7 linked regions of the Cricetulus griseus genome follow. The protein of the gene in region 7 purifies or fractionates together with the protein of the main gene of each other region. This does not show direct contact. Links are inferred from orthologs where the notes say so. Each region holds a gene or a part of one and is shown on either strand. Other genes may lie near its edges. The genes, in order: Iqgap1, 40S ribosomal protein S2-like, Elavl1, Syncrip, Fmr1, Hnrnpu and Stau1.

The links.
Region 1: the proteins of Stau1 (region 7) and Iqgap1 purify together in Homo sapiens (affinity purification with mass spectrometry; 4 studies listed by BioGRID and IntAct, with this or other methods). This does not show direct contact. The link is inferred for Cricetulus griseus from reciprocal best matches to the Homo sapiens genes STAU1 and IQGAP1.
Region 2: the proteins of Stau1 (region 7) and 40S ribosomal protein S2-like purify together in Homo sapiens (affinity purification with mass spectrometry; 3 studies listed by BioGRID and IntAct, counting the BioPlex papers as one, with this or other methods). This does not show direct contact. The link is inferred for Cricetulus griseus from reciprocal best matches to the Homo sapiens genes STAU1 and RPS2.
Region 3: the proteins of Stau1 (region 7) and Elavl1 purify together in Homo sapiens (affinity purification with mass spectrometry; 3 studies listed by BioGRID, with this or other methods). This does not show direct contact. The link is inferred for Cricetulus griseus from reciprocal best matches to the Homo sapiens genes STAU1 and ELAVL1.
Region 4: the proteins of Stau1 (region 7) and Syncrip purify together in Homo sapiens (affinity purification with mass spectrometry; 3 studies listed by BioGRID, with this or other methods). This does not show direct contact. The link is inferred for Cricetulus griseus from reciprocal best matches to the Homo sapiens genes STAU1 and SYNCRIP.
Region 5: the proteins of Stau1 (region 7) and Fmr1 purify together in Homo sapiens (affinity purification with western blotting; 3 studies listed by BioGRID and IntAct, with this or other methods). This does not show direct contact. The link is inferred for Cricetulus griseus from reciprocal best matches to the Homo sapiens genes STAU1 and FMR1.
Region 6: the proteins of Stau1 (region 7) and Hnrnpu purify together in Homo sapiens (affinity purification with mass spectrometry; 4 studies listed by BioGRID and IntAct, with this or other methods). This does not show direct contact. The link is inferred for Cricetulus griseus from reciprocal best matches to the Homo sapiens genes STAU1 and HNRNPU.

The regions. Positions count from the first base shown.
Region 1 is NC_048596.1:116,873,665-116,877,470, reverse strand, and holds part of Iqgap1 (ras GTPase-activating-like protein IQGAP1), read right to left. Parts: intron 3,571-3,806; coding exon 3,468-3,570; intron 2,871-3,467; coding exon 2,735-2,870; intron 2,414-2,734; coding exon 2,326-2,413; intron 632-2,325; coding exon 419-631; intron 1-418. UniProt on the Homo sapiens protein: Plays a crucial role in regulating the dynamics and assembly of the actin cytoskeleton.
Region 2 is NW_023276806.1:173,250,325-173,253,261, reverse strand, and holds 40S ribosomal protein S2-like, read right to left. Parts: upstream 1,349-2,937; 5' UTR 1,258-1,348; coding exon 592-1,257; 3' UTR 581-591; downstream 1-580. Other genes in the region: Gsap (gamma-secretase-activating protein), read left to right, coding at 1-68.
Region 3 is NC_048597.1:89,139,556-89,143,852, forward strand, and holds the start of Elavl1 (ELAV-like protein 1), read right to left. Parts: upstream 3,085-4,297; 5' UTR 2,923-3,084; intron 1-2,922. UniProt on the Homo sapiens protein: RNA-binding protein that binds to the 3'-UTR region of mRNAs and increases their stability.
Region 4 is NC_048597.1:198,399,580-198,404,161, forward strand, and holds the start of Syncrip (heterogeneous nuclear ribonucleoprotein Q), read right to left. Parts: upstream 2,847-4,582; 5' UTR 2,652-2,846; intron 1,351-2,651; 5' UTR 1,339-1,350; coding exon 1,191-1,338; intron 497-1,190; coding exon 378-496; intron 273-377; coding exon 165-272; intron 1-164. UniProt on the Homo sapiens protein: Heterogenous nuclear ribonucleoprotein (hnRNP) implicated in mRNA processing mechanisms. Component of the CRD-mediated complex that promotes MYC mRNA stability.
Region 5 is NC_048604.1:6,733,409-6,737,214, reverse strand, and holds part of Fmr1 (synaptic functional regulator FMR1), read left to right. Parts: intron 1-2,012; coding exon 2,013-2,183; intron 2,184-2,292; coding exon 2,293-2,371; intron 2,372-3,806.
Region 6 is NC_048598.1:15,817,613-15,822,023, reverse strand, and holds the start of Hnrnpu (heterogeneous nuclear ribonucleoprotein U), read right to left. Parts: upstream 2,988-4,411; 5' UTR 2,778-2,987; coding exon 2,165-2,777; intron 1,146-2,164; coding exon 1,034-1,145; intron 947-1,033; coding exon 873-946; intron 1-872. UniProt on the Homo sapiens protein: DNA- and RNA-binding protein involved in several cellular processes such as nuclear chromatin organization, telomere-length regulation, transcription, mRNA alternative splicing and stability, Xist-mediated transcriptional silencing and mitotic cell progression.
Region 7 is NC_048599.1:12,481,729-12,485,534, reverse strand, and holds part of Stau1 (double-stranded RNA-binding protein Staufen homolog 1), read right to left. Parts: intron 3,466-3,806; coding exon 3,319-3,465; intron 2,357-3,318; coding exon 2,281-2,356; intron 2,132-2,280; coding exon 1,812-2,131; intron 1,311-1,811; coding exon 1,188-1,310; intron 724-1,187; coding exon 638-723; intron 1-637. UniProt on the Homo sapiens protein: Binds double-stranded RNA (regardless of the sequence) and tubulin.

The sequences.
Region 1 (3,806 bases), on a different chromosome or scaffold from region 7:
TTAAATCCTCTAGCAACAGGGAGCTGTGTGCTCACATTTTGTTTACATACTTTACTTACAGAGCTGGTCTAGACCTCATAAACATGCTATCCTGAGAGGGAAAAAAAAAAAAAAAACCAGGTTCCTCGGTGCAAACAGCATTATCCCAGTGAAATTAGAACCCTGGTTTGGGTGATTCACACAAACTTTACCAACTTTATATATTCCATAGCAATTATGAAAAAGCCCTGAAGGATTCTTTAAAGGCAATGAAAAACTCAAGACACTGGAAGCTCTACTGAAGTCCTGATGTCAGAGTCAGACTGTACTATTCTGCATACGAGAAGCTATGCTGTGGCCTGAGTGGCTACTGTCTGTTCATGAGCTCCTGATGCGGCTGTAAACAAGGCCGGGCCACCACTGTTCCCACATGCAGTACCTTGGCAATGTCGTTGATGAGTTCCTGGTATTTGTTCTTTGGGTCCACGGTCCCAAGCTCTGTTAGCTTCTTTAGGCCAGTCTGAATTTTCTCTTTCTTCTCCTGAAGGCTGAGGTTGTTATCCTCCTTCACAGGTTTTGTCTTTTTCATCTTGTCGGGGGTTTTGGCGTCCCGGATAGCCCGTCTCTGCATGGCCCTCTGATGTTCGGCTTCCTACAGATGAAAAGAAAAATACTTTTTGGTAAGTTCACCACAGGAGCCCTAAACCTGGACTCACAGCATATCTGCAATTGAATACAGAGTTCTCCAAGTCTGCTGTAAATGTCTTCTCTCTACCAGACAAGGAACAGCATCAAAGTGAGATACCTCATTTCACCTAGCAAAGTACAACTGTGAATCCAGATGCTGTGCTTTCTTGATACTAGGTGTAGCCAGAAAACTAGATTCTATGAGCTAAGAAATCCTTTACCTTTTCCCAGCTTAATTTAGGATGTTGAAGTCAAAATGTGGCTCATAACTACACAAATTAACACCAATAGCAGTGCCCAGTGAAATCTTGCTAATGCTCCTGACACACTGCCTGAGCTGGAGCAGGCTCCTGCTGCCCTCTGCTCCCAAGCACACTGCAAATACTGTCATATCAAGGAACCTTCCTTAGACTCTGCTGTCTTTCCTTACCCTTTCCCTTACTTTTTAAGAAAAAACAACCAAGACAAGGTCTTGCCAGATAGCCCAGGCTGGCCTTGAACTTGGTAATCTTCCTGCCTCAACTGAGCAGAGATTGAGTACTGCCAAGCCCAACTGATCATTCTGTAACAACTTCATCGTCTTTTCTGACTTTGGCATCCACGGCTATCATCCATGGCTGTCATCACCATCTCCTCACCCCAGTCTGAGCTCTAGAGTTTTAGATAATTCCACCCTCAGCTTTGCTTTTCTCATAACTACCCCGCCCATCTTCACCCCAGATCTCACTGTGTTCTTCCCTCCTTGGTCCCATTATTCCTGTGGGCTCTCTTCCCCAGAATTTGCTCTTTTGTTTTCCATCACACCCAGATCCTCCCAGTCTTTAAGTGTGGCTTGGGTTCTGTTTCTTTTGTTGTGACTTCCTGATACACTGTTCCTCACTGGCCTCCACCTCAAAAACTGTGGGGTTTTTTGTTGTTGTTGTTGTGTTTCTGTTTATTTTGAGATAGAGTCTCACTGGCTGGCCTGGAACTAGCTATGTTGACCAGGCAGGCCTTGAAATCACAGATATCTTTGGGATCAAAGGCATGCCCACCATAGCCAGAAACTTCTGGAATCTTTTTTGACTTTTGTTTTATGTGCATTGGTGTTCTGCCTGCATATATTCCTGTGTGAGGGTGTCAGATCTTGGAGTTACAGACAGTTGTGAACTGCCATGTGGGTGCTGGGAACTGAACCGAGTCCTCTGGAAGAATAATCAGTGCTCTTAACCACTAAGCCATGTCTCCAGTTCCCTGGCATTTTTATAATCAATACTATAGCTAATTTCTAATGGTCTTATGGTTTCAGATGCATGTATCATAATTTTTCTAAATGGACCTTAAAGTTTGGAGCCACACCCTGTACTTTTATAGACACAACCAAGGTACTTCATATAATTACAACTATAAGACAGTCATTAAATTACTACATAGACAACATGTTCTGTCCCAGATTAAATTCTCATCTATCCTGTATTCTCTATCTCATGTTTCATCCTAAGAACACCTTCTGGATTTAGGAGCCACCAACTTTCTCAGTCAGATGAGCCCTGTTTACTACTGTTCCATAGCCAGATCCATGCTCACCCAAGGGTCCAATCCCTTCCCTGTGCCCCTATCCCCACCCAGGGATGCACCTATCATAGAAAAGCTTATCCAGTGTGAAACCTTCATGTGTACCTGTTCACTGGTGGCTGGTGTCTCCAGGATTTCAGTCAAGGTGTCTCCTGGCTGGAACCGGATGACATCCACAATTAAACGTTTTGTGCTGCAATGAGATGGGAATGGGTTTGAACATGGCTGTGTGTTCTACCTCCTTGTCATAGGATCTGAGCAGTATCTGAAGCATCGTCACCCCACAGCGCCTTGCTACAGCACCCAGAGGGACAGTTACTGGCACAAGGAGCAAGGGAACTATAGCAGGTGGTACAGGGGAGGAGTTCCAAGACTGTAATTGTATGTTAGCAAAGTAAGTCCTGTGCCAAGCACGATGCAGGGTGATGAGCACTGTGACGGGCAAGAGAGGCCAGGATGGTTGTTCCAGGTGAACTGGATTCTAAGCCGCTTCCTTCTCCCTTTCAATACTCACTTCAGTAAGATGGCCCGAGCATCCATCTCTGCATTCTCGTCACCAGGCACATCAAACTTGTTGGTCAACGTGAGAGATACTTCTGTCTTAGCCAGTGCCTCCTTGTTGGGGTCATTTAAATTGCCACAACTTTCCCCTGCAGTTTTTGAAGTGTAGAAAGAGTCAATGTAATAAAAAAACACTTTGGAGGGAAAATAATTCAAATAAATACAATGCAGGTCAGTATGACTCTTGATAAACCAATGCCCTTCAGTGTGATGAGCAGTTGTTACTGAGAAGTAAAGGAAACTGAGGCAAATGGTTGAGGAGAAGGGTCCATAACACAGTAACTTCATAAAAGTGTGAAAAACTCGTTTCACTGGGCACGGTGGTGCACACCTCTAATCCCAGCCTTCAGGAGGCCAAGAGAGGTAGATCTTTGGGAGTGTGAAGCCAGCCTGGTCTTATCGAGTTCCAAGCTAGACAGGACTACAAAGTGAGACCCTGTCTCAAAAAATTGTCAACAATCTAACTATAAGACTTACTTTCTGATTATCTGTATTACTTTTGTCTCTGTATTTAAAAGTATCTGCTATTTCACTGGACTCAGGTGCTCATAAGGTGGGGCCTATATTAGTTTTGTTCCCCACTGTGTATCTAGACTCTGATATGGCGCAAGATCAGAGAGACAATGATACTAAATCCCCTGATGCGGTCCCCTCTCAGCTTTTCAGAGGCTCATTAAGAACATTACCTATCAGGGACTCGATGGTGGGCACCTCGCCAAGGTCATCCAGCAGCTCGTGGATGGGGTCGTTGTGCTCTGGAGCAATGGCGTCCTGATGGTCCAACAGGAGCTGTAAAGAGATCCAGTGACTGACCTGCATCCCTCCATCTCCACCCGCAAGGCCAACAGGTATCTTCACAAAAGGGGCTGAACAACAAAGCCACCACATCCGAAGCACAAACAAGCTAACCTAGTAAACAGCACAAGGGACCAGGCAGCACACTGGACTTCATGGAACAGTGTACATTGTAAAACACCAGGGAATCCAGGCCTGGCACCCTCCAGCTCCTGGCCATGTCAAATTCA
Region 2 (2,937 bases), on a different chromosome or scaffold from region 7:
GTGAGAAGATGGCTGCATTGCACTGTGCACTCTCGTGTGGTCAGGACCCAGGTTTCCAGGAAGACCAGGTGAGAAGATTGTGTGAGCCTGCACACTGACAGCAGACTGCACCAAACATTCTTGTTGCTTCAAGATGATCAGAAGTGATTTTTGCTCGGTAGCAGTGGTGGCTGTCTGCCAGACTGTGAAGGTCATGCATCTGGCTGTTGAGTACAGTTGTTCCCTTCATCTGTCATGTCACTTTCCATGACTTCAGTTATCTTACATCAACTCTGGCTTAATACTATTAAATGGAAAATCCCCCAAAGGAGCAATGCATATGTTTTACATGGTATGCTCTTTTAAGTAGTGTGTTGAAATCTTGTGCCATCCTGCTTCACCTGGCCTGGGGTTATGAACTGTTACTTTGTCCAACGTATTCATGTTACAGTTGCACTTTTCTGGTTTCCAATACTGTAAGCACAGATTCCTCCAAGGACACACAGGCAACAGTGAGTTTCTCAGCTACCTGCTTTTCTCTCCATGTCTGTGTTTTCTTGTTTTGTTTTGTTTTCAGACTTAATTCACTTTATTTTCCTTGTATAAAAACCCTTATGTGGTGGCCACAGCTGCAGCCTGGGTCCTCTGAACAGAGACTCTGGTGTGGGCTTTCACAAGATGGTCAGTGAATTCCTGATAAGGAGACTTGGTGAATACAGTCTCTTTCCAGAGGTCGGGGGTCAGGTAGCTGTAGGTCTTGGAGATGGCATCAAAGGTGGCCTTGGCAAAGTTGCCCAGGGTGGCAGTGCAGCCCCTGGCTGATGTGTAGCAGTCATCAATACCAGCCATCATCAGTAGCTTCTTGGGCACAGGAGCAGAGACTATGCCAGTGCCTCTGGGGGCAGGGATGAGACGCACCAACACAGAGCCACAGCGGCCTGTCACTTTACATGGAACAGTGTGGGGCTTGCCAATCTTGTTCCCCCAGTAGCCTCTCTGCACAGGGACAATGGAAAGTTTGGCCAGGATGATGGCCCCTCTGATGGCAGTGGCTACCTCCTTGGAGCACTTAACACCAAGATCAACATGACCGTTGTAGTCCCCAATAGCGACAAAAGCCTTGAACCTGGTCCGATGGCCAGCTTGAATCTGCTTCTGCACTGGCATGATCTTTAGAACCTCATCCTTTAGGGATGCACCCAGGAAGAAATCAATAATCTCGGATTCCTTAATGGGCAGGGAGAACAGGTAGATCTCCTCCAGGGACTTGATCTTCATGTCCTTAACCAGATGGCCCAGCTTGGTGACAGGGATCCACTCCTTGTCTTCGGCTTTACCTCCATGAGCCCCGAGGCTGCTGTCACGTCCTCAGTCATGTCCTCGACCACGACCATGACCGTGGCCCCTGAGACATTTCTGTGAGTTCAAGGCCAGCCTGGGCTACATATTAAGTTTGATGCTATCTTGAACTATAGAGCTAATTCCTGTCATAGCCTTCTCAGAACAAACAAACAAATGCCAAAGGCATAAGCACTTGTGACAAATGTTTATTAATTTTTAATAAGATAGCTTAGTTTGTATTGTACACTGCCGCTTATGAAGTGTTATCTATTTTGTCATTTACTTTATGAAGCTATCGTATAAGATCAGGAAAACCCTGTTGTCAATCAGTGATAGCTGGGGTTAGAGGCTGATTAGTTAGTTGAAAAAAAGCACACTTTTTAAAAAACACATAAAAATATACATTTATCTGCTTACCTTTAGTGTAGAACAGGCCTGTTCTCTGTGAACCAGTTGATTAAACTGCAGTCATTTTGTGCCACAAAACCAATCCCAGAATGTTGTCTCTGATTTCCTATTCCTTCCTAAGAGGTTTGTACTTGTGGATACATATTCATGTGTCTTTGTGTGTATACACACATGTGTGTGCATGCACACCTATGCACATGTGTGTGAAGGCCAGAAGTAACATTGTGTGTAACTCGATAAATAAAAGACCCAGAGACAGATATTGGAATTCAAACTTCAAGATGAAGATCAGAAAAGCAAAGCAGCTGGCCACTAGCTCTCACTCTACCTCAGAATGAAAGGGGATCCTGGCTCCACCAAACCTCAGACTGTAACCTCTCCTCAGTGTGGCTGGAGAATCCTGAGACTTCAGTGTCTTCCTATCCTCCATGTGGCTGGAGAATGAACGCCTGCTCTGAGACCCTGTTCCTGTCTTATATAACTCCCTAGCACTGGGATTAAAGGTGTGTGATCCCAGGTGCTGGGATCAAAGGTGTGAGCTCTGTTACTCTTCACTCTTGTATAGGCCAGGTAAGGCATGCAAAATAAGTCACCTGGCGAGACAGATTTAGAATCAAGCATCCTGTTGAGAGTGAACCATGGCTGGACATGTCTTACCTGTAAAGTAGGAGATGAGAACTCCAGCAGTTAGCACAAGGATAGAACTGTGAGAGAGTTGCAGACATGACAGAGGTCCCATGTGTCCCTTGTAAGGGAAGTAAAGAGGTGCTCCTCATGGGTAAGTTGTGTGACCATGTTCACAGTGATAACTGCACTGAACTTTAAGCCCAGGCTGCTGCCTCCAAACCCAGTAGTTTCATTGTACTTTGCTCCTGTGTCCCGCAGCTCTCTTGATGGGTTCTTTGTGTAACACCATCAATTCCTGCAAAACAAACAAACAAACAAACAAGCCACATATTGGATTGAAGTTTTATCTGCATACTACCCAAAGCTCCCTGTTAAAAGGATATGTAAAAAGCACCTCATACTGACATACTCAGCCAGGGCTATATAGGTTTTTAAGCTGGAAGTTGGTATATTTTTCAGGTTACTCCAAAAATCCATGTAGAATTTACAAGCTTATTCATGTATGTGTTGTTCATTGTGTGTTTTTGTATTACTTTAGTGGGACTGAGTGCAGATCTAAAAGTCAACAGGGTTCTGTGGTTT
Region 3 (4,297 bases), on a different chromosome or scaffold from region 7:
TCTTTTCCTTCTCAAGTTCTCTGTGGCCACTCATTTTTTGTGACTCAAGTGTTGGATAGGGTTGGCTACCATTGCTCTTTCTCATGTCCAAATTCAAAGTCATGGGATTTCTCTAATTATGTCTGTCTCAATGCTCCCTGTCTCTACAGGGAGCTCCCTGTAGAGACCTAATTGGTTTTCTGACTGCCAGTTAACTCCTCCTGTGCAAATGTGACCCTCTCTGTCAATTAGCATGGATCTGGAGAGGGCCCTCATAATATCTGAGCTCTCTTCCCAAGAGATCTGCTACTCGCTTCATTCTACTTTCCCAAAAGTTCCATACCCTGCATGGTTTCCCAAACAAATGGAAGCTCCCCACCCCCACCCCTCATCAATTTCTTCAAGAGCCTTTCCCATTGGCCTTTTACCTAGCTATTTCCTACCAGTCTTCCTGCCTCAACAACTCCAGGGAACATTCTGAGGTCTCTTGGGCTTCAGTAGGAGTTCCTTTACCTGTGCTTCAACCTTGGTTGGTACATTACTATTGTTCACCAGCTAGGCTGAAATCATCTACACACAGGTCACATACACTATGGCCTCTGCAGAAGGTAGCCTCTGAGCTAGAAAACAGCTTGGGGGAGGAGGACACAAAGACTCACTTCCCTCTTGGCCAATTTCCTTAGGTCTTCTCTTAGAACCAGGACCACTGTTGAACTACTGCCACCTAGGGGCAAAGGGCAGAACTACATCTCACTTCATCATTCAGCATGTAACTAGGTTGAACACACTGAATGGGATGGGAACACAAACCAAGAACAGTTGATTCTGGAGAAGGTGGAGGAGCCTTGGCAGTTGGAGGCAGCTTCAAGTGGTATTTGTGCTCTGAGACGGGGCCACACAGCATGAGAAAGAGATCTTCTTCCAAGATAAGACAGGGTCAGAGGGTGTAGAGGGTCACCCCAAACTAAGGGCTTCTCATTTAAATCTTTAGAGCCATTTGAACAGCCCAACACAACTCCCCACCCCACCCCAAGACTTCTAATGAGGAGAAGCATGATCTGTATCTTCAAAAGTCAACTTCTGCAGGTGTACAAAGGCAGAGAGAAGAGAAGCAGTAAGTGTGGGAAGCAACTGAGCAAGCACAGGAAAAAGTATGTTTTTCAATCTCTCCCTTTCTAATGTTGCCCTGTGACCTATTCCTGAACACATCCAAATTTGTTTCCCTCAAACCAGTGCTAACAGAAATGTTTCTTATTTCTCTCAGCTTCTTCACAGACCTCCAAGTCACAACACTAAAAAATAACTTTAGATTTATATGTGAGTGTTTTGTCTATACAAATGTATGGGAAGTGTATTTGTGCTTGGTGCCTGCAAGGTCAGAAGAAGGCATGGGATCCCTTAGAACTGGAGTTATTGATGGTTGTGAGCCATCATTCAGGTGCCAGGAACTGAACACACAGGTCCTCTGCAAGAGCAACAAGTGCTCTTGTCTGCCATCTCTCCAGCCCCGCAACATTTTAAAAACCAGACCTCAGCAGTTTTGTACACACACGTTCAGTGTCAATACATTGGGGAATCTCGGACCTGCGTTCAAATCCTGCACTGGCCACTTGAGCGTACAAGATTATCCTAAGCTAAACTTTACTTTCTTCTCTTAAGTGGATATTGAAGTTTTAAAACATGGTGATTGATTATTTGTAATATCATGTATTCCATGTGTGGCATGCACAATCCTGGGATTTTCCTCACATCTTTACGGTTGCCCAGTACTTTCATCCTGCTATTTTACAAGCAGTTCAATATAGCCTACTCGAAAATCTTAGGAGCATCCCACAGAACATCAGAGATAGGGCTGGAAGAACTTTTCTAGAAGGATTATTTAAGGATTTCTCACCTCTGTGTGTGTATCTGTTTGGTGGTGGGGAGAGCAAGAAAGACCCCTAGCAACGCTTGAATTTATTTTTGGTCTTCACAACTGGGAGAAGTGGGAGGCAGAGATGCTAATACTTAGTAGGCAGAAGCCAGTCATGCCATCCAACTTCCTACAATGCACAGGGCAGCCAGGCCCCCACAACCAACCATTATCTGACCTTAACTGTCTGTAGCAAGGAGGTTAGAAGAGCTTTCTCTATCATCGGATCTTGCCCCTTTTAGAGCACTTGGCCATCGGTATCCCACAGGATACACTTTCGATAATGAAAGCTCTGTCCAGCGCAAAAAAGTTCTCCGCCTGCCCTGCACACAGTAGGTGTCAAAACCCATTTTGACATGCTTTAGCAGCAGAAAGACAAGAGAAAAGACCCTCCTTCACTTCCCATTGTTCAACTGCGTGCAATTATATTTTCAATATTTATACATTATTTTACAAACGCAAACGTCCCGAGAACAGCTTTGTTAGAGATGTCGATCAAAATTTGTTTCCTTTTATTTTCTAGGACTTCCACACATACAGAAGAAAGGTTTGCACACTTCTAAAAGGACCTCACGATCCGTCGCGGTGTATCCTGAAAATCGGCCACAAAAGAAATCTGTGGGATTTCCCGAGGGAGCGAGTCCGTGGGCCGTGACCTCTGGGCGCCCAAGGCCCTCGCTCCTCTCTTCCGCCCCCGGATCACCGGGCTTCCGAGACTGACTATGCAGGGCCCCCCAAAGCCTCGGAGCCCGGCCCCCCAAAGCGCGTGCCCACGCCGTGTCCTTCTCCCGCCTCTCTCGCGGGAGCCCAGAGAGGAATCTGGCCCGGGGGAGGCTTGTCGCCGACCTGGATCAAACCGAGTCGGTTTCCCTTCGCCTAGCCACGGCCCACACGCGCGTCTCCGTACCCAGGCCTGGCGCGGCCTGGGGCCTTCGGCCGGTGCAGGCCCGGCGGGCGCCCGCGGGGCTAGGCGAGCTCAGGCCCTAGCGCGGCCTACTCTTTCGGAAGTCGCCGAAGCCACCCGGCCTCACCTGAACACGGGCGGGAAGGCCCGGGGCTCTGCTCCGGGGCGGGCGGCGCGGCGATAACGGCTCCGCACGGCCTCGGTAGCGGTGGTGGAGGCGGCAGAGCGGCGACGGCGACGGCGGCGGCAGCGGCGGCGACGGCGGCGGCTCCTCCTCAGCGCGCACGACCCGCTCCCCGGCCCCGCGGCCAGACACGCCCCTTCTCAGCGCGCTCGTCTATTGGTCGGCGTCTTCGAAGAGCCTGCGCTCATTGGCTAGTATGGCTGTCGAGGTACTCTGGTGCGTGCGGCGGAGGCAGGACTTCCTGTCGGCGCCGCCTGCGAAGGGCTAAAGCGGCCGGTGGAGACTCGGAGTGGCCAGCGATGGCCGTGGAAGGGGCTAGCTGGGGCCAGGCGCGCAGCAGACGCCGACTGGAGCGGAGGCCGAGGAATGGCTCTCCTTGAGGAACGCATGCCGTGTGGTCCTCATCTGACGGGCTGTGCAGCCGCCTACGCCCACAGTAAGCAGTGTGGTCATCGGGAGCCCAGACTAGGAGGGTAGAATCCCTGGTTCGAATCCCGGTTCCTACCGACGTTTCGGTTCCGCCTGAGGTTGAGCACCGGTTGACGTCACTTCGCCTGGCCTCAGTTTTCTTACTAGTGAATTAAGGGATGTGGTCAGCATGGCATTCCCTAAGGCTCTAACGTTGAAATTTATTGGTTTTAAGTTTTTTGTTTTTCAAGTGTATGGGTGGGTTTCTGCCTGCATGTATGTCTGTGCACCACATGCGCGCAGTGCTTACGGAGGTCAAAGAGAATGCCGGTTCCTCTGGACTGTTGTTAGCTGCTATGTGGGCGTTGGGAACTGAACTAGGGTCCTCTGGAAGAGCAGTCAGTGCTCTTAATTACTGAGCTATCTTGCCAGTCCCCGTTCTTTGAAATTTTAAGTATATACTATGTGTCAGCCAGTCAGGCAGTGATTAGAAAACAACTGCCTGTCCCTTTGGGGGCTGCTGTTGTGCGCTAGTGCTATCAGAAAAGTATATGCAAATTGCATGATTAAAAAAGTTCTCTTTGAGCCGGGCGTTGGTGGCGCACGCCTTTTATCCCAGCACTCAGGAGGCAGAGGCAGGTGGATCTCTCAGTTCGAGGCCAGCTTGGTCTCCAGAGCGAGTGCCAGGATAGGCTCCAAAGCTACATAGAGAAACCCTGTCTCGAAAACAACCTCCCCTCCAAAAAAAAGTTCTCTCTGTCTCTCGTGTCTTTTTTTTTTTTTTTTTTTTTTTTTTGCGTGTTTTCTTTTAGTCAGGGTCTTCCTAAATAGCCCTGGCTTGGAACTGTGAACCAGACTGATTTTGCCTCGCAGAGATCTGCCTGCCTCTGCTTCCTGAGTGCTGGATTTA
Region 4 (4,582 bases), on a different chromosome or scaffold from region 7:
TGGCACACACACCTTTAAATGCCAGCAACTTGGGAGGTGGAGGCATGCAGATCTTTAAGTTAGAGGCTAGTCTGGTCTAAAGACCCTCCAATGCTGCAGAGAAACACTGTCTCCAAAAACAAAACACACACACTTAAAGCTACAGAAAGTTCTCAAAAACATACCTTAATCTTTGACTCATCTGGTCCTTTACTGGAGTCCGCTACTTTGGTCCCTTGTTTCTCTCTCTGCCTGTAAGTCTTCATGACTCCACATAAAAAGGCACTTTTGTTCTGTAATGAAATTTTCCATTCATATTAACATTACTATTATGTCTGTGTCTAATTAAATTTAAATAAGATCAAAAGTACTTTTTTCTACACTGAAATTAACATTACCTGCACATGAGAGAGATCACTATCCTTAAATTGTTGAAGAACTGCCAATGCGCCGTCTTCATTGAACTCTTTTAAAGCTTCGATAGCTCTTTCATCTAAATCACTATGTGCAACTAGCCCTGGAAAGAGAAAATGTAGTTAGTTATCACCTTTTAAAATTTCCAAATTATTTCTTCAGAAAGTCCTGTATTGGCCAATACAGGTACACACACGTGGCGATTCTACTCCCCTTATCTACATAATGAAGAATATATTTTAGCCATTCTGAGCTAAGTCCTCTCAACCACACAGAAAGAAGTCAACATATTTTACATCCCATTTGTGTCCAAGTAATCCTGAACACTGCAATATTTCTACAATATATAAGCCTACAAATCCTGTCAACCAACAAAACACCAAGCATAGCAACTGCAAGTCTACTCAATGTCAAATGCCACTAGAAAAAAAGGAACCACCACACCAAGAAAAACAAGAGAACTAGCCTACAGTAACCAAGTTATTAAACAAGAACCCTGCTTTAAAAATACCCCAAAAAGTCACATGGGCTGCTCTCAACATTTAGCAGCTGTTGCTACTATCATATACTTATCTGTCAGGCCAGACAGCGTTCCCCTAAGGGAGGTCTTTTCCCCACTTCATCCCTCCCTCTACACTTTAACCTCTAGATCAAACCTAAATTAACCAACTATCAGAACAAGGCAAAGCTCCAGTTCCCACATTTATTGGAAACCACAAAAAGTTGCTATTTTAGCTCAAAGCCAGAAATCCAATAGAAAAATTTCATAATGTAATTTTGCAAGTGTTGTTTCTTACCTGCAACGTAAATTTCATCTAGTTTTTCAGCAACTTTCTGTGGTAAACCAGCATCAAGCAATGTCTGAAAATTTTCTGAATGGATAACTGCAGAAGTAGTATCCATGGGCTCTTCAGTACCATTTCCATTAACATGTTCTGTAGCCATGTTTCCAGAGATCTGTTCAAACGCAATAAGCAAAATTAAACTAGGGTCTTCAAAAAGAATAGAGGACAATGACAGTCCCAATCTTTACTTTCTACCAGTAACTACAACCAGCCAGCCTGCGCCTCCCTCGAAAGAAACCTTAAAGTCACCATCGCCTGACAAGCCAGATTTGGAGCCCGGGGTACAGACGGACCGATGCACTACATTCTTTCCTGATCACCACCCCTGACTTCACCTGCTAACACTCGCTAGGAAAAACCGTATTACAAATGAAGCCCAATCAGCACAGGGACCGGCCGAGCCTGCCACATGCAGCAGTTCCAAAACGGAGAATAAGGTGTGTGTGAAGAAAAGCAACGCTGGGCTTGTCTCTCTCCAAGGTAAACCAGAAAGTGCGCTTTTCCCGCCTGCCGCTTATAGATCAGTAACAACAGCCAGCGAAGAACAAAGCGCTCACACAAGCCACCTTCCCACCACCCAATTCCTCCACCCTTCACCCCCACACCCCAAAGCCCGCCCCCGACTCCGCACCCGGAGCGGCAGCCTCACCACTGCGGCCGCCAGGAGCCCATTAGAAACACGTGCTCTGCGCCTTCAAATGTCCTACAACTTCCTTCAACGGAAACCCACCGAGTACCGGGCCAAGGCGGTCGTCACCGCCTCTCAACATCAACCCGCAGTCGCGGTCCGAGCCCCCCGAACCGTGCAGCCGCACAATCTCGCCTCTCAACACCGAGGCCGCGGCGGCGCCAGGCCACGGGCTCTCCCCGCCCCCCAGCGCCGCCGTCTCCGCCTTGACACATGGCTCTCCGCCCCGGGTGCTCCCCAGCCGCCCGCGACCCCCGGCCTCCCGCACCCCTCGGTGCAGCGGCTGCGGGCGCCGAGGCCGACAGCCCGCGCCGGGAGGGCGTTCCGCCGCCAGGCGCACGCCCGCGGGAGCCCAGCACCGCCCAAGCCCGCCGGCCGGCCGGCCGGCCGCGGGACAGCACCCCGCGCCTCTCCGCCCACTCCCGCGCCGCCGGCCACGACAGCACCAAGTCCGCCCGCCGCTCGCGGTCCGCGCGGGCCACGGGGCTGCCGAGGCGCCTCCTCCCGGAGCGCCGCAGACAAAGCCCGGCCGCGGCAGCACATGGAGAGGAGGAAGTGGCGGCGCGGCCGCGGCCTACTCCCTGGCAGCCCCGGCCAACGTGCTCCTCTCCCCCTTGGAATCCATTTTCCAGAAAAGCCGGTTTCTCCCCGCGCCGCCCTCCCCCAAGCTCCCTCCACAATGTCATGGAGCCCCCCTCCCAGACCCGGGTGCCGGCGGTCGTTACCTCCCCGCGGGGCTGCGGCCGAGGAATCCTGTCCGACCGGGTCGGGTGGCGGGGAACGCGTGCTCGCTGCTCCCTGTGTCCGGCGCGAGTGGAGCTGTTGTAAAATGGCGGCCGAAGCTCACGCCGCTGGCAGCAAACCCGATCCAGTTCCACTCGCCTCCGAGCGCGCTCCCAGTGCGCGCGCGCGCCCCCGCGTGACCCCCCTTCCCTCCCCTCCCTGGCGCGTCCGCTTCTCTCACTCACTCCCTCAGCCCCTGCCCTCCTACAGCTCCTCCTTCTCCCCTGCCGCCGCCGCGCCGCCGCCGCCGCCGGCCGCCGGCCGCCCTGTCCCCTCGGCCTTCCTCCTTTCCCTCCCTGCACCTCCTCCCCCAGCGTCCCCACTCCCGTCCGCGGCCGCTCAGACACGAGTGGCCGCCCTTCTCTCCTCCTCGCTGGCACTCTGGCTCACGCCCTCCCTCGCTAGCTCTCTCGGCCCGTCCCCAGTCCCTGCCGAGTCGCTCTTTCTCTCTCCCGCGCTGACGTGACGACGCAGCCGACGCCTCAGGACGCGCGCCCGTGGGCTCCGCCTCCCGCCCCGCCCCTAGCTCCTGGCGGGGAGGGGGAGAGGGGAGTCGAGACCCCGCCCTTCCGCCGCGGCGGCGATGAGGGGCCAAGTGAATGAGAGACCCGCCCTCCGTGCGGACACTCCCTCGCGCTCCGCGGGCGGGGCGGCCTGCTCGGCGTGTCCCACTCGTTCTTTGTCAGGAGACAAGCATCTCCCCACCCCGCCCTCCCCGCCCCCACCGCCCCACCGCCCCGCCGCCGGCCCCCGGGCTCCGAGGGCTCCGAGGGGCTCCGGCACTAATCGCCCGCTCGGCCGGGACCTCGGCCGGGGCCGCCGCCGCACCGCCCCTGGGCGCTCGGGAAGCTGCAGGCGCACGTGTCCCCCGGGGCGGGGCGAGGCGAGGCAGACAATGGGGCTGCGGGGGGGAGCCGCACGGGGATGGCGGAGCTCCGGGCGGCCGGGTGGCGGGGCTCGAGTTCGGGAGTCACCCCGGGGAGCCCCGGCTTCCGCCGCTGGACAATGGGGCATCCCGCGGCCCGGCGCGCGCCGTCCTCCCGCTCCCACGAGTCCCCTGGGCGGAGGGAGGGGCACCGCGCGGCGGGTTCGCGAGGAAATCCCAGTGCCTCCCGCCCGGGGATGACACGGAGGCCAGATTTGGAAGCTTAACCGGCCCGGTGGTGTTGGGTTGTGCAATATTCCGTTCCTGTCCCTGGCCTTCGAAGCAGTTGAGTGCTCCTCCTGGCACACTTTGAACAACTTGAAGCAGCACAAAGCTTCGTGATTTAGGACAACTGTGAGGAAAATGTCCGTGTCTCTTTTCAAACATCTTGGTAACTACATGTTATGTGAAGTGACATTTCCTTTGTAACCGTTTACTAGGTACAAGAAAGAGAAGACAAAGGCGCTTGTATCCCAGACGATATGGATGCTAATTTTTTATTTTATTTATTTATTTTTGCTTTTTCGAGACAGGGTTTCTCTGTATCTTTGGAGCCTATCCTGGCCCTGGCTCTGGAGACCAGGCTGGCCTCGAACTCAGAGATCCGCCTGCCTCTGCCTCCCGAGTGCTGGGATTAAAGGCGTACACAACCAACGCCCGGCTATGGATACTAGTTTTATCCAGAGCAACGGTAATGAAAATAGCATTATCCTTTTGACAAAAAAAAAAAAGGTTATTTTTAGAAAGCTACTGATTCCCCCTAAATGAGCGTTATGCTATAATAGCAAGCCAGTAGCCCAAAGAAAGTTAGATACTCTTCAAAGTGCTAGGCACATAAAATGGTGCTTTGACAGGTGGACAACACAGAAAATATTTCTGAAGTACTATCTAACCTTACCTGTTTAATAAAGCCCTGGATATCCACTGCCTAAATCCCTATCAAACATA
Region 5 (3,806 bases), on a different chromosome or scaffold from region 7:
TATAGTTTGGAATATTAAATTATTCAAAGTATAATCATACTAAAGTTTTCATGCCTGATGTTTTGAAGTTACACAGCAGTCATGTGTTTTAAGGAAGTTTTGGACAATTCATTTTTGCCAAGTTTGTCAAAGCTGCTATAAAGTGAGACTGCTTCTTCTATGTAACATGTTATCATTAAAGTACTAGAGAGTATTTAAATATCTAATCTTATTCCTTTCATTATGTATGTTTATCTCTGTTTAAAAGGGTATAGAACTTCTTCATTCTAATTGGTTGTCACTCTTTAAAACTCCTGTCTTCAGATTCCTGCCAGAGGCTATTTCCCTAACTTACTATTTCGTCTCTTAAGGTGCATTTTATCTACTTTTATTAATCCTCCAATAATTGCCATCACCATACATTTATTTTCATTGATAACTATCTAGTACTTCCATCCATTACCATAGAAATTAAATGGATTTTATTTTAATGTGCCAACTCAAGTAGATTGCTGTCAAATTGAAGAGGCCCTCATCATTATTCATTTTGTTAGGGGAATTGTCAGTTGATAAAGCAAAACAAAGGGGGAGTTTAAAATTGCAGTTAAAAGAAAAGGTAGTCAAGGATGTGAAAATTGCCACTTTTCAACTTGATGTGTGATTGATAAACTCTTAACAGGAAAGGAAAATTTTACTTTTGTTTTCCAAATGGCCGCTGAGGTCTGATCTTTTTTTGTTTTTGTTTTTGGTTTTTTGTTTGTTTGTTTGTTTGTTTGTTTGTTTTTTTGCTCTCATTCTTTCTTGATGGTCCCCCAAGTTCACAATGTGGTTTGTTTAGTGATTTTTTTTCTCATAACTTAGGCCACAGCAGTCTTCTTAATTTCATTGTGAGTATTAAGAAAATACCTCTTCCTAAGCATCTAATTCTTCTTGAATGCTCTTTGCCATACCTTTAGTTTACGTGTGTCCATAAATTATCAATGGAAAGAATGAACCAGGCTAATGAGTCAAGATCCAAAAACGTGACTTCTTGGAAAATCCTAGAATATTTTGTACACTTTACTACTATTACCTTTAAAAATAACTATTCTTCTTTTAAAATTGCTTACATTAGATATTTTCATTCATTCAAATTATCAGGTGTGTTGAATAATGATAAACTAGTGTGCATGCCTATTTTCTTCACTACTAATATTAAAGGGGTTCATATATCCTTATAAGAAATACCCATTTTTCAACATGAGCCACTAATATGTTTGATTTTCATTAATGGCATGCTAGAACTAAACATTCAGTTTTGGTATGCTACTTAAAGACAGTGATTATCCACATGTGTGGGGTATCATTGGAACTTAGTTTTGTCATTGATGAAGAGTTCATTGGGGATCCAGATCACAAAGTCTTACAGACTCTGATCACGTATGTGAAACAAATTTGAGAAATCTATATTCTGTAAGTGTTCACTTAACTGATAAGCCAGAAAGTTTTAGAATTCTTTTCCTTAAGTTTTGTGTTCTTTTAATGCCACATTTCAGCAAAATGCTTAGATCCACCATACCTGGTGATGTATTATGAAAGTGACACCATTTCTAGAAAAAGTACTAATATATCTATAATAAAAGTGCAGTGAGTAATTTTTTTTCCTTAAAGATGGTATTTTTATTTTGTTACTTAATTTCATTGAGTCTGTCAGACCAAGTGAGCTGTTTTTTAATTGGGATTATTTTGTCTGCTTCTTAATTATTAATTACATTGTGGATATCATTGAATAACAAAGGCAGCCTTGCAAATAGGTTTTCAAAAGTAACCTTGAAAAACTGTCCACAAGCTCTTTCCTGTTAACAAAAAATGTTTTAAATGGCACAGACTCAGTAGCCTAAAAAGAACTTATGTGTAATTCTAAAATTAGTTTTCAAATAAAGCAATTTATAGGACCCTGATATATAGGGTCAAGATAATTTACATGGCTGGCCTAAATAAAATTGTCTTCATAATTGATAAAGTATGTTCATCAGTTGTGCATTTCTCTTTAGAGTTCAAGGCAGCTTGCCTCAAGATTTCATGAACAGTTTATTGTACGAGAAGATCTGATGGGTCTAGCTATTGGTACTCATGGTGCTAATATTCAGCAAGCTAGAAAAGTACCTGGGGTCACTGCTATTGATTTAGATGAGGATACCTGCACATTTCATATTTATGGAGAGGTAAATATTTCACTATATAATCCAGTTCCCCTGCAAAACAAACAAACAGTATTTCAAATGATGTATCTTTTTTGTCTTTGTACTACACCCACTCACCCTGCTTTATTAGGATCAAGATGCAGTGAAAAAGGCTAGAAGCTTTCTGGAATTTGCTGAAGATGTCATACAAGTTCCACGTAACTTAGTAGGTAAGTCAAAAATAACTATTAATATATACCACAAATAATTCTGTACACAACTTCTGTATCACTTAAATCTCTTTCTCTCACTAAGAAGTGTAATCTAATTAGAGCAATTTTTTGAAATGTAATCTGTTCTTACAGTGTATAGAAAATACATACTCAAAGATTCTATTTTCAGATATACAAGAAATACTTTGTTCAGACCTATAAATGTCTAAAAGGATAAATTTTACCTAGACTCCTTATATCATTTTTTATTATAGCCTTTAATTTTTTTCACATGAATGAAAATTGAGGCTTTGGTGATATTTGTTAAATGATATTTGTTAAAGTGATAGCATTCATTAAATTTGAAAGATAAATTTAATTCCTAGTATCCTAGGAATTTTATGGATTCAGTGGTAATTCTTCATTTTAAATTGATTAATACTGTTTCCTAATCATTAGTGTGATTAGTGTTAGAATAGGATCTTTTCGTTGGCATTCCCAAATAATTCAGCTATGTTTGGTAGAACATACCAAAGGTATAGCTTTATATAAAAACCATAAGAAAAAACAAAATGTGTTTTGAATTTATAAATAAGATTGGGGCATATCACCTCTTAATCTCTTGTAGGAGTTTAAAATGAACAAACTTCCTATGTATTTTACGTACATAGTTTAAAATATTCATAGGCTGCATTTTATCAAAATAGAATCATAATCATCTTCCAGTGTCACATAGACAGACAGACAGGTCTTTTTCAAGACCGGGTTTCTCTCTTGAAACAGAATTCTGGCTGGCTGTCCTAGAACTTGCTCTATAGACCAGACTGTCCTCAAACTCACAGAAATCTGCATGTCTCTGCCTCCTGAATGCATTCCAGCATTCCAGTATCATTTAAAAAGTACTAGTAATGTCCCAGCATCCAGGAGACAGGCAGAAGAATCACAAATTCAAGGACAGCATAGGGTACATATAGCAAGACCCTAATTCCAAAAACTGGTCCCAGAGTCATGGTATATTTCCCATTAATAAAAAGAGCTTCAAGGTCAAGTACAAATACTAGCAAAGTTAGTAGCTGACATGTACACTAAAACAGAAGTTTGTGAATATAGTGTTACTGTGGTAGCACGCATCCAGTTGTGTAGAAGATCCATGCCTAGAATAGCACAGGATGACGTGATTATGATAGAACTGTGGGTGTCCTTTGAAGTTTATTTGCATGGCGCTGTGGTAGGGGAAATGCTTGGCTGTATTTGGTAACTGTGTGACTTTGGATATCTGATTTAGCCCTTGAGAGGAGAATCTTTTTTTCTTCACTTACCATGTATATGAATGTGGTGATAGTCTAGCAGCTTAATGGAGGTGTGGGTACGGGTAGTACAGTTCTGGGCAAAAGAGGAAACTATATGTTCTCTTTTGTTTATCTATAGCTACTCCATTTCATTAAAACAATTA
Region 6 (4,411 bases), on a different chromosome or scaffold from region 7:
AAGTTACATTTAACTCTCAGGACTCTGAACACAATGTGTATAAGTAAACAAGGGAATACAAGTTTTTAACCCTTTCTAACATGTGAAACCCTTTAAAACTCTTTATTCAAGCACCTTTTGTTCTGCTCACACCAAGCATTATACATCCCTATCAAATACTAAACTAACAAACTTCTTGAAAGGATCAAAATACAAATCTGACAGCTAAAGCCCATTTCATGGCTTGCAATACTTCCTCATACTCTAAAGTAGCATATTTACAGCGCTGCCATTGATACCATTCGCTGCTGAAGAAAGCTAGTGGCTCAGATAGCCCACTGCTGCTGCCCCAGGTCTTTGGAAGAAATCAACTTATGTTAGAGCAGCAGCTACTGAACTGGAATTGAGAACAAAAGAGCAGTTATTGAAAAGGTAATATGACAATCCTTAGAATAGGGAATGTACTTGTGCGCTAATGGGAAAATCGTTAGTAAGTATTCAACTAGCCCAAATAGCTCACTTAATATAGTAGCTCCACAGAAAAATTTTAATTTTCATATTACCTATCTAAGGACATGTTACAGGCAGGTTTTAAAAACAAGTTTCTGAAAGCTGAACAAAAATCGGTATTAGTTTTACATCCCTAAATATTGGGAACTTCCATGACATAAGTATCAATTAGTAGAGCTTGTAAAAACAGCAATACAACTGAAGTGTCGCTAAACATAAAACTACTGTAACCTGAACATGAGCTATTATCTTCCTGATTTAAAACAATCTAACGGGTTTTCTCCACTTTAAGATATACAAACACACTTTTCCTAAGAGTTAAACCAAAATAGCACTGCACTTAAATATTTGAGAAAAAGAGCGGGAAAGTTTGCTTCACTTACAAGTATCAAGACAAACCACTGTGTCATCGAAGTGTTCGTCTTCTTCTTCAACAGGTGGCTGAGGAGACTTGGCTCTGAAAGACAGAATCGTCTCCTGATAAAGCTTTCCCAACCACGCATAAAAACTGGGTGACAAATAAAACTAGGTTAGGATCCTCTACCTGCTGTACTTGTTTTCTTCAATGTACTCAAAATATCCTCGGCCATGATCTTCTCGCGGTCTTTTAACACCTCTCTTTTTATCTCCTCCTTTCTGTTCTGTTTTACCGTCTCCTATAACGACACAGAACACAGCCTTAAATCATCAGGCCACAGACTGAATTATAGAGAAAAGCTCCCGTTTCTGTTCCGGGACTTTTAGGGGCTGTTATTTTTTCCCTCCTAGACTGGATCTCGGACTTTTTTATTTTTGGTTTTTCCAGACAGGGTTTTTCTGTGTGGCTTTGGAGGCTGTCCTGGAACTAGCTCTTGTAGACCAGGCTGGTCTCGAACTCACAGAGATCCGCCTGCCTCTGCCTCCCGAGTGCTGGGGAAAAAGGCGTATGGCACCAACGCCAGGCGAGTTCTGAGACTTTTTAACCCACGAAACTAATATGAATCTAGAAAAAATCGTATCCATCAGCCTGGAACTGCACTGGAGACGGTGACGCAGTCTAAAGACGCTGCTAATCCTGCCAGCCTAGGGTAACCTTCCGGAATGCATTTAAGGACTAAAACCGCGCGCCCGCCGTCCGGGCCCACGTGCTGCGCGCCGTGCGCGCGGCGGCGGCGGGGGGTGTGGGGGGGAGGGCAGGGCAGCGTGGGCCCGCCTCCCCTCCCCCATCCGAGCCCGCGTGCCCCGCCGCCGCATTGTACTGAGCTTCCGCCTCACTCCCCGCGCCCGGCGCCTCCCGCCGGAAGTGACGTCACACCGAGCCCCTGCGCTCCTTGCACAATACCGCGGCGCTGAGCCGCCAAAGCCCGCCCGCCCCGGGACCTTCCCCCTCCCCCCAGACATGTGCCCGAACCGCGCGCACGCAGCGCTCCAGCGGCCGCCGCTCCCGCCCGGCTCCTCCCCCACCGCGGCAGCTGCAGCTCCCCCCGGCGCCCGACACACATAATGGAGGAGGCGCCGCCGGCATGGCGAGCCCATCCTCTCGGCGGCCCCGGGGCTCCCCCGCCCCCCCCGCCCGCCCGCGTCGCTCGCCCCTGGGGCCCCGGCCGGCCTGGGGCACGGTCCCCACGCGGGCCTACAAGCCGCGCGCCCGCCCGCCCACCACGCAGCCCTCACCCGCCGCCTTCCGCCTTCCTACCTCCGGCCTGCGGCTGGCCCTGCCTCGCCCCGGGCGGCGCCACCGTCACCGCGAAGAGCGAGGTGGGGCCGCTGCTCTTGCCCGCGGCCTCCTTGCCGGCCCCGCGCTGCTGCGGGGTCTGCGGGGCCGCCGCCGGCGGTTGGGACTGCTGCTCCCCGTGGCCGTTCTCGTCGCCCGCGCCCTCCTCCTCGTCGCCGAGCTCGTCCTCCCCCTCCTGGAAGCCCTGGTCGTCGCCGTTCTCGTCTTCCGACGCCGCCTCCTCCTCCTCCATCGCGCCCGCGTCAGCCGCCCCCGCCGCCCCGTTCTCCTCGCCCAGCTCCATCTGGTCGCCGTCCAGGGCGGCGATGCCTTCCTCCTCCTCGTCGTCTTCGGCGCCGGTCGCGGCCTCCTGCTCGAGGCCCGTCCCCGAGCGCCCGGCCGCATCGCCGCCCAGGTCGAGGCTGCCGTTCCCGGGCTCCATGGCGGGGCGGCCGCCGGCCTCGTTGTCCAGCGCGGCCTGGAGTCGATCCATGAGATCGGCCTTGAGGCCCTTGTCGGAGAGGCGCCGCTTCTTGAGCTCCTCCTTCAGCTCCGACACCTTCAGCTTCTTGACATTAACAGGCGAAGAACTCATGGTGAGGGCCCCGGTTCACCGCGGACTGCTGGCTCCCTCGGCCTGTGGCGGCGGCTGCTGGTCGGCCCGGGCGGCGGCTGCGGCTGGAGATGGCTGAGTGCTGCAGAGCGGACCCGCCTGGTGTCGAACGGCGCCAATTCCTTTCACCGAGTTCGCGAGGCAAGACGCGGAGACTCGCCTGGCGCGAGCGAGCACGCAACGTCCTCTCGCCGGGGCGGCGCCGCGCACGTAATATAGGCGCCCCGCCCCCTGCCGGGGCGGGGCTCGCTAGGGCGGCTGCGCGCGCAGGCCCCGCCCCTTCCCCGCCCCGCCCCCACGGGGCGACCTCGGCGCTGGGCCCCGGCGCGCAAATGGAGGCTCAGGAAGCCGCCTTTCGGTTAAACCGACTGGCCGCGGCGGCCGCCGGCCTTTCCGGCTTCTCGGCGGCCGCGCTCCACGGGCCGTCCGCCTCCGTGGGCCCGGAGGAGGCTCCCCTGCACCCGCCCTGCGTCCTCATCTGGCATTTCCCGCTGGAGGACACCCTCCTTTCTTCCATCTTAGTTTGTCTTTTTTTTTGTCTGTCCCTCCGGCTCTCGCTTTAAGACTCCGCCAAGTTTCCGCTGCTGCTCCGCAGAGCACAAATAAGCGGCTGTTAGACAGAGGTGGTTTTTTGTTTTGTGTTTTGTTTTTTTCTTCCTCCACTTCATTGCAGTTTAATTTTTTACAAGCCCTGCCTTGCCGATCGGACTTTTTAAGTTCCGCAAGGGCGAGGCCCCAGCGTTTCTTTTGTCTCTTCCATACCCGGTGGTGCAAGGCCTGGGGAGGCGCAGGCTTGCCCTACCGCTCCGTGCCGCACGGCATGCAGTGTGGGCCTTGTGCACTTCTCACCGTCTTTACTAGTGACCCTTGAGTAACCCCTAGAATTGCATGGAAGATTCCCCTAGACTCACTGTAAAGACAGGCCTCTTGCAGGAAGGACTTCCCTTAGTTAACCATGAGAGGGACATCCAGCTAAATTTTAATGCACTTTGATTCTCCCCGTTTTTTCAGACACACACTGAGTTGTCTACACACTTGCAGTCCTATCTCTTGGCAGACTGAGGCAGAAGTATCAAGAGTTGAAAGCCAGCCAGGGCTACATAGTAAAGTCCAGGCCGCCTTGGGCTGTATAGTCAGACAGACCCCATCTCAAACAAACAAACAAAAAATTGTTGCTATTTTTCTCTGTAATTAAAAACATGTTATGTTCTTGAAACTTTTAGGTAGAAATAGAATTTATTTTCTGCACGGGCCATTCTGTGTAGATTGTGCCTAATAGGTGTGTTTATACAGGTCTATAATTACAACCCTTGGGAGATGCAGGCAAGAAGATCAAGAATTCAGTCAGCCAGGCAGTGGTGGCACACACCTTTAATCCTAGCACCAGGGAGGCAGAGGCAGGCAGATCTCCCAGCTCCAAATATCCTGGTGTACAGAGCTATTTCCAGGACAGCCAAGGCTAAATAAAGATGCCTTGTCTCAAAAAACCAAAAAGGTTGTGTGTGTGTGTGTGTCATCTTTGGCTACATAAAGAATTTAAAGCTAATCTGGGCTACCTGAGACCCTGTTTCTACAAAACCAAGTACTCTGGCAGTAAAGCTATGGTTGGCCCTGTC
Region 7 (3,806 bases):
AATGGCAATGGCAAGAAAGTTAAAATGAGGGCTAAAGCTAACTAAATGCAGCTTGCAAACTTAGGGCCCCTTTTGTGGGAACTGATAATAGTCATCCCAGACCATACTGGTACCAAGAAAGGAATGAGAGAATTCTGCATGTATTCTGTGTCTGAGAAAGAAAGAAAATGACAGTGGGCTGGGGACACAACTCAGTGGCAGACCACTTGCCTGATATGACCAAGGGCCCTGGGTTTAGTCCCCAGCATCGTCATTAAGCATTTGGAAAGAGTTATTTCCATAAACACAGGAGAGGCTGCAGTTCCTTCAGTGGTCAAGAGCACTGCTATTCTTCCAGTGAGCTGGGTTCAGTTCCTAGAACCCACATGGCAAGACAAAGTGGGACAGAGGAGAGTGAGTGGGGTGGGCACTGAGTGAGGGCAAGATGTACTACCATGTATCATTAAAACAACATCAACCTTTTGCTTATTCTCAGGTCTACATCAAGGAGGGTACTGCCTAGAAAACATGGGGCTCTCCAGGGGTTCAAACCAGATTGCAGCTGCTTCCCCAGAGTTGACCTGCTGCTCACATTCACTCAGGGCACTCCTGCCTTCCACGGACGGACACCACACTGACCCTGCAAATGCTCACTTACGCTGACACTGGTCCATTTCCTGTTCTTGGCATCTCTGTGCTCTGTTGGTCCAACTCAGACAGCAACTTTAAAATGTTGAGTGCAGCCTAGAAGGGTGGAAGGAAGGAATAGTCAGCCAGAGAACAAGCCAGACTCTCCTGGAAAGAGATATCAAAAAATGGATAGCAATGTCTTAAAACTTTTTTTCCCCTCCCAATGTAATGTTTGAATCACCTACCCCGCCCCCAACCAGCAAGATGGTTTCTGTGTAGCCCTGGCTACCTTAGAACTCATTCTGACCCCTTTCCCCCCTAACTCCGAGATGTCTGCTCTAGCCAGTGACAAATCTCCTGTATGCAGACTCCTCTCCTTTAGGGTTTAACGTCACCTGAACAGACTTGGTGGGGGGGGGGGGCAACTTTCTACAGCTCCCAGAATAGAGGCTGAAGAGTTTAGACTGTTTGAAAGGTTACAGGAGAACGTGTCCCTCTTCCTGAGACCACCAACAGTCTGAACAAGGCAATGTGCCAGGCTCAGCCAGCTTCTCTCCGCAATCTTGGGGCCCACATACCATATCGTGACAGGACTCCACATCCTTGCCAATGCCGTGGCTAACAAGGGGTGGCTGTGAGGAGCAGTTGATGAGAGACACACACTCGTTCTTGTTGTTCTTGGGGAAGTCTTTGTATTCAACCTAAGAGAGAAGAGCACACACCCAGCCATGTGAACCCCAGCCCAGAATCCTCCAGGGTCCTACTTAGGTTTTAAATGCTGCTTCCTAAAGAAAAGTGTCTTCTCTCCCTAGAGACCTGTCATGCTTCTTACTCCATAATCCCCCTCCACATACACTTGCCCTGGTGCGTGCGTGCATGTGTGTAAAGCACGTGGCATGCCGGGTATGCAGGTAAAAGGACAACTTGCTGCAGTTAGTTTTCTTTCCACCAACAATCCAATTCCAGACTGTCGGGTTTGGTGACAATGCACCTTTATGCAGTGAGCCACCTTGTCACACCCCAGACCTGCCCCTGCCTCTCTCACTTCCTGCACTGAGCCACACTTTACACTCAGACCATATGATCTCACTTTTCCTGGTTTCTGTAGTACTGGGGGACAGAACCTGGGTTCTTCATATAGAAGATGCTGTAAAGGTCATTCTCTGAGGCCCAGAGATGACCACAGAAAGGCAAACAGTTACCTGGAATCCCTGGGCTCTGGAAAGGTAGTACAGCTGCTCAGAGGGTCTTGTGCGAGGTCCATGGGGTACGTGTCCTGAAGAGATGTTACTCTTTAAAATGGTCTCGGCTGTGGGCGAGGTGCCCCCGTACAACAACTCTCGAGCTATCATGGCAGTTACCGTGGCCTTGGCAGGGTTCGGAGCTGCCCTGGTGAAATCTTTGGTGTGGTGTCCTTGACTAACCCCAACAGCCTGGGCAACCTCTGGCACCATGGGGAGGATCCCGGCTGGCAGCTGCTGATGGCTCAGATAAGGCATCCTGAACTCATCCTCTTTATGACCTGTGAGGGACATACAGGTCACCACAGCCACCCCAACACCCAAGAAGCTACAGTGCCCTCTTCACCACCTCAGCACATACAAGCTCCTGTGCTTCAGTCACATAATAACCATGCAAACCCAGACACGGGATCAAGAGGGTCACACTTACTAGTTGCATTTTCATCCCCAGGGCTAGGTTCAAAAAACGTTACTTTCCTTCCGTCTCCTGGTTTCTTTACTGGGGTCTTAAGAAAGAAAAATGGCAGTGAGCATGGACAAGCGCTGGGGTCTGTGTGCATTTTATCGCCACCCATACACCACACAAGCTCTCATGCCTGCCCATGCTGGCATTTACATGGAGCAGATCATGAATGCAGAGCTGGCTCTGTGCCAAGGACCAGGAAGTGCTGGTTTAGAAGTGCTCAGCCCAGTGGGAGAATAGATAGGGTCTGCACTGGTGCTGAGGGGTGCCTTACATTACCTAGAACTAACATCCAGAAATGCTTCCACAAAGAACACAGAGGCATTTAGTGCATGACCGTCAGACACAAGGCAAGGGGGTTTTCAAATGGGAAATCTGAAAGCCAAATCCAGGTTTATGCAACTCCATATGGAATGTCTGCGTCCCAGGTAGTGACTTTGCAGGCACAGTGGGAGCTGTTTCTAGTCATGAAATGCAGAACTCAGAAGAGGCTCAGTCCTACTTTAGTGAACCCCAAGGACAACGGCTGGAGCCAGCAATAGTGGCTGATGTTCTCCTGGAGTCTTGTTGACCACTCTGCAGAGTAATATTCAACTAAGAATCACAGGAGAATTCTCAATCTGAACTATATAGATTTGGCCTTTTGTTAACAATGCTATCTTGTCCCAGAGAAGCCAAAGCCAGATCCATAGGAGCAATATGTCATGCAAACCCCTTTGAAGCACAGATGGTAGCCATACGTATTCATTCCAATCCCAACTACCCATCAGGAGAGAACAGGACATCCTGCAGAAATGCACATCCAGCCCACAGCGACACTAAACAGACTTAACCAAACCACTCGTGGGACACGGTGAACTGGACAGGAAACTTCCCTCCTGCAAACACTATCAAGTGGACGAACCCCAGGGGGCAGGCTGCTTACTGCAGGGAAGATGAAGCCTTGCCCCAGGCTTGCCCATGCAGGGAGCTAGGCCACCTGGCAGTGAGAGTCCCAGCAGTCACCTTCTCTTCTGATTTGAGTGCTGGCTTGGCAGGCTGCGCCTGGGGAACTTTGAACCCCAAGATCTCCAGCATGTTCTCAGCAGCATTGCGCTTGGCCACCTTCTTATTGGTACCCGCTCCTTCTGCAGTGTGGTTCCCAACCTTTACCTGCAGAAAACAACAAAGACCTGTGGCTGAACCTTCTAAGACACAACAGAAACTGGTTGCTGTGCTGCCAAAAGGCCCCGGGGATGACTTTGCTAAACAGGATGGAAAAGGTGTTTTGTGCAGCCAATTCTGAAACTATTGCTGTGACGGCCACATTCAAGTTAGAAACGTTTAAAATCTACAATAAAGAATACTGTATGGAAAATGTGTGCCTCGATCCTTTCCATCAACATATTTATAAAGACAGGGATCTAACCATAGTGATGCCTCCCTCCCATACCACTCTTCTGAGGGCTGGCTGTTGGACAAATTCCAGCATACTCCATTAAAGCCGTTCTGAC